Danio rerio: one gene and its partner. The protein of the gene in region 1 interacts with the protein of each later gene in a biochemical or structural test. Links are inferred from orthologs where the notes say so. Each region holds a gene or a part of one and is shown on either strand. Other genes may lie near its edges. The genes, in order: crk and arhgap32b.

The links.
Region 2: the proteins of crk (region 1) and arhgap32b form a complex in vitro, tested with the Homo sapiens proteins (2 studies listed by BioGRID and IntAct, with this or other methods). The link is inferred for Danio rerio from reciprocal best matches to the Homo sapiens genes CRK and ARHGAP32.

What each region holds. Positions count from the first base shown.
Region 1 is NC_133190.1:27,216,549-27,221,123, reverse strand, and holds the start of crk (adapter molecule crk), read right to left. Parts: upstream 2,884-4,575; 5' UTR 2,581-2,883; coding exon 2,361-2,580; intron 1,264-2,360; coding exon 686-1,263; intron 1-685. UniProt on the Homo sapiens protein: Involved in cell branching and adhesion mediated by BCAR1-CRK-RAPGEF1 signaling and activation of RAP1.
Region 2 is NC_133196.1:26,121,780-26,126,216, forward strand, and holds the start of arhgap32b (rho GTPase-activating protein 32), read right to left. Parts: upstream 2,823-4,437; 5' UTR 2,326-2,822; intron 1-2,325. UniProt on the Homo sapiens protein: GTPase-activating protein (GAP) promoting GTP hydrolysis on RHOA, CDC42 and RAC1 small GTPases. May be involved in the differentiation of neuronal cells during the formation of neurite extensions.

The DNA of each region.
Region 1 (4,575 bases):
GCGCCTTTGGTGTGAACACAAAGTTATTGAACAGAAATAGCCACATTATCTCAAAGACAAATTGGAAGTTAAAACATGTTAAATGTGGTATCTTTATTTGATTTTAGATGTAGCTGCATTTACCAAACAGATCATGAACTATGAGTAACTAGTAAATGGTGCTCCATTTGAAAGCTGGAGATATACTACTGACCACAGAGCTGGCTTTTACTCACAAAACGACGTGCATGAACATTGTGTTTAAATAATTGTGCAGCTCCAGTTTATATGAGCTTATAATCTTTTAAATAAGCATTTTTTTTCTTTCAAAAACTTAACACTTTGCTTCAGAAAATATTAAATAACCCACTGAGCAGTATGAATGACTTATAACACATTAATGTGCTTTTTTGAAGCAAACATTGTGTACATTTACTTGCAATTCAAAGCTAAGTCACATTAGTGTTTGTCAGGAATAGGACATATAGTAGTCCACATTTAAAGTAGATCAAATAAAGTTCTGACAATCATGGCAAGAATGGATGTTGTTAAATAGGACTATTTTAGTACAACTTAAGATGGAAGGTTTTGATCCACTTCAAATGCTGACTACTGGATACATCTAGAATAACTTGAAGGTTCATAAATGATGCAATATTTTCATTTTTATATTTATTAATATCTCAGAAAAGTTTACATTTGTTACCTCCAAAGCAAGAGCTGTCTTATCATAGGCATTGGGGACTCTCTTCTGAATCGCCCTGGCATAAACTGGGCCATTCTGTAGATTGGGTAAGGATGTGGGCTGGGCGTATTGGCCCGGTTCACCAAGCAGAGGTGGAGACTGAGTGCTGTGGCCGTCAGAGTTGCCGTGAGCACCGGACCCACTGACTGATACGCCAGGTGCACCTGATGTCGGTGAGGCAGGTCGGTACTTCTCCACATAGGGCACAGGGATCATGCCAACACGGCCTTCTGAATTCTGAGCATTCCACCATTGCTCCTCTGGCTTCTCCAGCACTCGAAGAACATCACCCTTTCGAAATGGAAGGTCCTCGTCGTCGTTGCCGGGAAAGTCGAAGAGAGCTCTGACGTACTCCTCTTCTAGCCTCGGAGGAGCTCCTCCTGTCCCCGCATTGACGCTGATGAAAGACGAGTGCTTGGATTTGCTAATGGGCTCAATGAGAGTGGTGGTGTCCAGGTAGTGGATTTTGTAGAACTCCAACAGGGCAGGTAAGGCATCAAATTCCTGATCTCCAATCCGGAACCGAGGAGGAGCAAGCCCTGCGGGATGACATTATGAGATGATGGATGGATAATCAAGATCTGCTTAAATTTAAAGGGGTAGCTCAGCAAAAAATTCAATTTTTTCACAATTACTCATCATAATGTTAACACGAAAAAAAGTTACTGAACATAGGAATTTGGTAGGCATTTTATTTCTAATATGGAGGTGTAAATGGCTACTTAATTACAACATTCTTCAAAATATCTTCTTTTGTGTTCAACAGAAAAGAGAAACTAATATAGGTTTAGAACTTTTATCGGGGTGTACATTTAAACTGAACTCTCTCTAATCCATGAAAATCTGATAAGTGTTGCAAAAACTACATAGTATAACAATGTAACATTTTATGGGTTCAACCTATGGGAAAAGCAGCAAAAAAGATTGGAAATTAAATATTGCTGATCATTTCTGCAAACAAAAAAAGTGAGTTTATGTTATAAGTGATTGACATGACCTATAATAATGCGTGTAATTCAAATGAATGACAGACACATAACTAATAAGATTGTATTTGTTATATAAAAAGTTGATAAGGTGAGACATGTATGTCGGAGTAAGAATGTAATGAAGCAGCGGTTTTAAAATAAGGGTGAAACTGAAATAAACGAGCATTTAGTCAAGATAAATATGCACAAATTAATATAAACAAACAAATAAACAAACCAAGAACACAAAATTATAAGACACGATTCAAACGAAGCAAAATGTAAGTAGATAAAATAAAGATACTTCAAAGAATCTGCTAACGTGTGAACAATTGAACAACTATGTTAAATAATGACACATATTGCAACTAAACGTTTCCTATATTATATTATAAAACGAATTTGTATACAATTTTCACATAACAAATCTGGCATCATACACGAAAGCATACAAATCATTTTACACCCGAGAATGATATTTGGGGCCCGTAGTGTACAAGACCGAACCCCTGGTTACACAGCACCCCAGAATGACGCGAGATTTTAGACTGAATATGCACAACTATTCGTAGTATAGAAGTTTCATCGAGCTGCTAAGCGCTTTGCTAAAGCAGTATTTATCCGTCCTGTCGTTAATAGTATTTAAATACATTTGTTCAAACGCTTACCTGGTCCTGACTGGCGATTGCTGCTGATGCTGTTTATTATGTAATGAGAGACTTTGGAGTTCTCCGACACAGACAGCACGTAGTCCCCGGGAATAGTGATCGAGTCCCGCACCAGGAACACTCCATGCCTCTGCCCTTGGAGCAGCGAAACCGCCTCTTGCCGGCTTAATCTCCCCCAATACCAGCTCCCTCGGTCCTCCGAATCAAAATTTCCGGCCATGACTAGCGCTAGAAAAAAGCCCAGGCTTCACAGGCCTTCCCTTCGCCTCTCCTTATCCGCAAGCAGCGTTCAACTCATGCAAAAACTTTACCGCGTTCCGTTGTTGAACACGTTTCGAATACGCGCAGCATTCGCACACTTTTCAACGCTTTTTGGCCCAATCGATTAACAAAACAATTGACGTCGGTATTCCAACGTGCATGGGACGCAAAAACCGCGGCTATTCACCCAGAACTTCTGATAATTGTCCAGTGTAAACCAAAACGTACATTGGAAGTTGTCACAAGGAAGTTCAAATATTTCAAATGGCGGACAAGGGAAACAATTTTTGACCTTATTTCCCGGAAGTGATGCAATAGCCGCCGACGCGGATGGTGTCTGTTGGTGGTCATATTGGTGCGGTCAATATTGAAAGTAAGGCCTTATCTTGTATCATTATGGAGTTTCAATCTTTTTTTAACACCAACCGTTTTTTTTATTTTTAATTTATGTAATCGTATTTCGGAATTGTTCATATGAACACAATTATAACTTCTGAATTTACATTAGTTATACTGATCAATTTGCATCGCATTAATCTTTGTATTAACCCAAATTCCGCTAAACATAACAGTTTTGTTAAATTCTAGTGAGAGGTTCAAGTGGCTGGTCCAAACAGGTTGTTAACCAGTCCAAGCGGGCTGACCCCGAAATTACCTGAGCAAACAAACATAGTGTAAGTGGTCTAACAGTTAGTCTACTAAATTTAACAAATTAGACATCCCTTTAAAACATAAGTTAAATATGATTTTCATCAACCATATTCGCTAATTTATTTAAAGGTCGAAAGTGCTGTAAATTATTACAAAAAAAAAAAAAAACGGAAGTGCGTAAACACTGTCCTTTACAAGCGAGTCCACAAAATTAGCAACCACTAGATGTCGACATCGATTACTAATAGTTTGTAGTCTTTCTACCAGTCTCACCCAGTTACAATTCAGCTCTCAAATGGTCTAATCAAACATATTGACGACCAACATTATTCGTCGCGTAACGCATAAATGAAGTGTATATTTGTTAAAGGTTTATTGGTTTTGATACCAACAACAGTCAAATACATTTTTATTTGTTTACAAATAATCATACACATATTGCTGTTCCGGTTTGTCATTCCTTGCATTTCCCTTGGTTCATTAATCATTGTGGGAGTACAGAAATACTGACCAAGTCATTGTTCACAGCTCTTCAGTGCACTTTTATCGATATATATTCCGTAATGGCACAACTTGACTAAAAGATATGGCTTTGAAACACAGCAGGAGATTTTGAGGCTACCTGTTGACCATGAAATGACATGATAAATTGAAACATATTGGTCACCTTTACAAAGGCTACTAAACCATTCATGTAGGCTAATAAACCGTAATTTGAAGATGGAGCTTAGAAAAACACTGATCATATAAGCCATAGTTCTCAAACTGGAATCCTGGATGGCCACCACTCTGCATAGTTTTGCTCCAACCCTAATCAAACACAGCTGATTCAACCAATCAAGGTGTTCAAGACTACCAGTGACTATGAAGCAGGTGTGAGTTGGAGGTGGATAAAGCTAAACTATGCAGAGCTGTGGCCCTCCAGAATTGAGTTTGAGACTACTGCTATAAGCTATTATGATGATGTTAACGCACTATAGTATTTTCACTTAAGTGAATTCAAAATAATGGGTAATTAATTAAGACAAATCTAATTTTAAAATGTCTAATTTTCATGAAGACAAATCTAATCAATACACTGTAATTTACAGGCATATTTGAACTATTTTGAATTGCGTATATGAATAATGTGAAATTTTAAGTAGGCACTAAATATAGGTATATACTAAACACTTTATCATTTTATTATCAGTGGATAAATAGAAATGAAATCTTAATATCATTTAGAGGTTAAAGGATCTATTCTAACAAACAGAGAAATCTCACATCTCTTTAAAATCCATGTCCAGCAGCAACAACAGAA
Region 2 (4,437 bases), on another chromosome or scaffold:
TCGTCTATCATCCCAACCGTAATACGTACATAGCAGAGCTTGCAAACTGTGTTTTTTTTTTTTTGTCGACAAAACGAACGTTGTCAACATAAGTAACTGGAATAAGTAACTTCATTGAAAGAGGAGAGGGTTTAAGCTCTGTCGACGGGTCTCCTGCGTTTGCAGTTTAACAAGCACTTCAACAAGCATGTTTTTTTTCTCGCTTGGCAAGCCAAGCTAACGTGACATGGGGGTGTGGCAGCAGCATCGACGATTCTATTTTTTGATTCGATAATCGAAATTAAGCATAAATTTCAATCGATTTCGATTAAAAATCGAAATCGGGACACCCCTAACACACACACACTCATACACTACGGACAATTTAGCCTACCAAATTCACCTGTACCGCATGTCTTTGGACTGTGGGGGAAACCGGAGCACCTGGAGGAAACCCACGCGAACGCAGGGAGAGCATGCAAACTCTACACAGAAACACCAACTGAGCCGAGGATCGAACCAGCGACCCAGCGACCTTCTTGCTGTGAGGCTACCCCCTGCGCCACTGCGTCACCCACTATCAAACATTTATCAGTCAAAAATATATTATACTAGGCCTGGGTGATAAAATCGGTATTAAAATGTATTGACCGAACACCATTGTCAATATTAATTAAAAAAGTTTTATCAGTATTGATAAAAACTTCAGTCGTTGTTAGGTTACTCTTTCAAATCTGAAAGCATTAACAACTAATATCGAAATATATATAATTATCGTTCAATATGGACAATAATTACCAAGATTGCATTTTTGCCATATCGCCCAGCCCTAATTATATTAGTAATCAAAACAATATTATGTCAAAAATGTTTTATAGAATAAACAATCATCTTAAACAATGTTCTGCACAGGTCTAAACGTGTATTTTTATCAATTTGGCGCTCATGAAAAGCTGAGCTTCTATAAAGTAGTCAAAACACTCCCAGAAATTCATACACACAAACCAGCAACATTACAAATATGACAAGAAAATCAAGACACTTACAAGGGTATTCTCTTTTTATGGTCATATTTTATGACATTATGTCCTGTTTTCAGTTCACAATGTCTTTGGTCTGTGCTGCATTCATCTCAGTCCATTTGTTTGATATAAACACTAAGGTTGAGATGGCACTGTTCACACATAAAAGCATCTGGAGAGATTTGATGTAGTTCATTGTAGATTTGCTGTCAGTGAGGCAGCTCAAAAATAAAACTCAAGAAAGACTAATATAGGTTAGCTTTATGCATATACACAGTGCTGTAATTCTATCACCAAAATCAATATTTTGAGCACAGCCCAAGAGCACAGAGCTCCAATATGCAGAAAGATGCTTCCAGCTGACTCTATAGGCTTAATGTCAGGTCTGGAAATCTTTCAGAGACTTTAATATAATTTCAGTCACGTCATTATTTTTCTACAGTGAAGTGGCCACAAAGAGAGCATTTTTAATATCTAACCAAACTATTGGCTTTAGATCAAAACATTGATTTGTGATGGCAAATCCCTTCAAAATTAAAGAGAGAGCAAGAACTGAGCTATTTTTTATTTGTCTATAGTTTAAACAGAGGGTGGTGTGACGAGAATAATTGGCTTGTCAAATAAAGATTAATTTAGGATAAAGCTTTCCATTACAACATATTTATATGCCGTTTCTGAGACAGAAATAAATGTTGCTTTTTCAAATTGGATTTTAGAGGAAAATATAAAACGTGTAAGAAAATATTATTAAAAATTGTAGCTGGATCACCGTCATTTTAGCTGTTCTAGACTCCTAAAAAACTGAAAAAACAAGTCCAGAACAAAGAAAACAGTGCAAGTAAGACCTGAATTGTATGTATTCTCTTCGTAATCTTCGAAATTAAATCGGCGTCTAAATCCATTTGAAACACAAAACATACCATCTTTATAAAGGGTAATTCGTTTTTGACTCCGATTCTTTATCTCATCGTCGACTATTTAACGATAACAAGTAGAGACAGCTACTAAGTTTATGCACCCGTAAAAAGTAGGCTACAGAATAAACAGTCTACCACCTACAGTCTGGTATATTCTATCACAGACAGAACATTATAATCGATTCAAACGCCCCAGGCACACTGGTTTATTAAAATAAATAAATCAAACGGAAGAAAATGCAATTCATACACAATAAAATTCCATTTAGCAGAGTTTATTATAGGGGAGCACGCGAGTGCACGCGCGCGCACACATTCAATTCACTCCACTTTCACCGCTCGCTCAACCGTTTCACTCACAAGTTATGAATAAATATAAAGGTAATATGCTATGTTGATGCACTTACCGATGGTAGAAAGCTGTAAATCACCGAGTAGATGAATATCAGGGTGTCCGTATGGCTCAGCACCGCTCTCTCCAGTGATCCTCCTCGAAGACGACAACGAGCCAGCCGAGAAACCCGGTGCCAGAGAGTCGCATCGTGAAATTAACAGAATTAAATGAAAACGGCCAAAAAGTACACACCGGACAGAAGTGTGCTGAAGAAAACTGCACCTCTGAAGAACGAAATAATGAAGGTTCATTAAAATCTCCTTTTGGGGAAGGGGTTTGCCGAGCTAGCTTCGCAGCTATGCTACAACCAACCAGCTGTTCGCGCGGCGTTCCTGTTTAAACTTTAAAAATATATGACTGAAAATGAGACTAAACCTGTCCCGTATCTGCCGTCCATTTCAGTATTTGGTCATACATGTAGAGAGGTGTGTTGTCCTGTAGGCTGAGCCACACGTACAGCCACGGGAGACTTCGGTTCAACATTCAAAAGCGTGACCGCGCAGTGGTGCTCCATGCGCGTCACCGTGACCACATAAGCGCGATTGGCGCAGAAGTCTAGATCAATTTTACCGGAGCTCACGCACTGTGTCGTTTAATAGTTACCGTTATGTGGTAATTTCTTGTTAGTGCTTGTTGTATTTCTTTTGTTTAGATCATGAATTGTCGAACTGTACTCGTTCTCTTACACAGACACCAGAGCAGACGGTCTGCTTTTATATGAATTATGCAAAACGTCACATTAACCCATAGTGCAATATAAGGAGGCAGCACAGATCCTAACTTCATGACCTGAGGAAAGTCGAAAGCAAAAAAATATTTTATAAATAATATAAAATCTAGCTTTCAATTTAATGAATGAATGGATTGTGACGACAGCAGAATGCTTCAGAACTGATCTTCAGCTCCATCTATTGAACTGCTGTCACCACAGGCACAAAATGCTGAGGAATAACCGTGTTTTTGCTGTATTGGTTTGTCTGGTGTCCTACTTAAAGTGAATGTTTTAAACGAATATAATATATTGAGACATATCTGGAATTGTAAAAAGTATAATAATAAGACTAAACAAGACTAAAGCAAAAATATTAACTTAAAATTATATAGATAGATAAAATAGAGAGAGAGAGAGAGAGAGAGAGAGAGAGAGAGAGAGAGAGAGAGAGAGAGAGAGAGAGATTTTTTAGATTTTTCAAAAAAAACTGTCTGTGTCGGGACACTGTAGAAAATACTTGGTTAAGCACAATTTCTTTGTGTTGTTCCAACAGAAATCAATTAAGTTAAACTGTTTTTACAAATTTAAGTGGACTAAACATAGAACAATTAAGTTGCACCCTCAAACATATCAAGAATTGTGTTGTTTTAGCTCATTTTAAAAAATAATTTAAACAAGAAGCAAAAAGCTTTTTTTGAGTTTAGTAAATGTCATTAATTTAACAATTCTGTGATTAAGTTAAGCTAACTTTTAGGGTTGCACGGTTTACCGGTACCATGGTAGTATCGTGATACAATGGCTCTAAAATACTGGCAATGCCACTCTAGTTTGTAAATGGTAGTATCATCATTAATGGTCTAATGGACAATACGTTGCATGTGAAAAAGTAACTAAATTGCTCACACGTTTGTGCAACAATTGACAATTTTATTTGAATAGTCTGTAGAGCATCTTATAGTTGCAAACTGTAGAATTCACGCCTTTTATGGTAGCCTACTGCACGTTTTCTGATGCTTCAGTTTGAATCTGAATCAGTTCATTTCTGCTCCTGTCAATAGGATTTAGTAGTTGCAACAATCGCGACAATCTCGATTCTTATCTGATAAGAAAAAGATCTAATAAGAAAATACAGGAAACATTGAAACAATTATGACCACTTCATAAAGTCTAATTTGGTTGGCAAAAGGCTCTTTTTGTAACAAATTTAATTTGGTATATTTTGTATCTTTATTTTAATGTATGTTTTGTTGGTCAGTTATCTACAAAATAAACAAAAAGAATCAGCACATTTTAGGTGAAGTGATGTGCAAATACTTTTTTCGATAATAAGGGAATCATTAGTTCAATTCAAGTAGGTCTATTATAACATAAAATATAGTATCTCTGACAATTTTCTTTATTTCTTGGATTTGA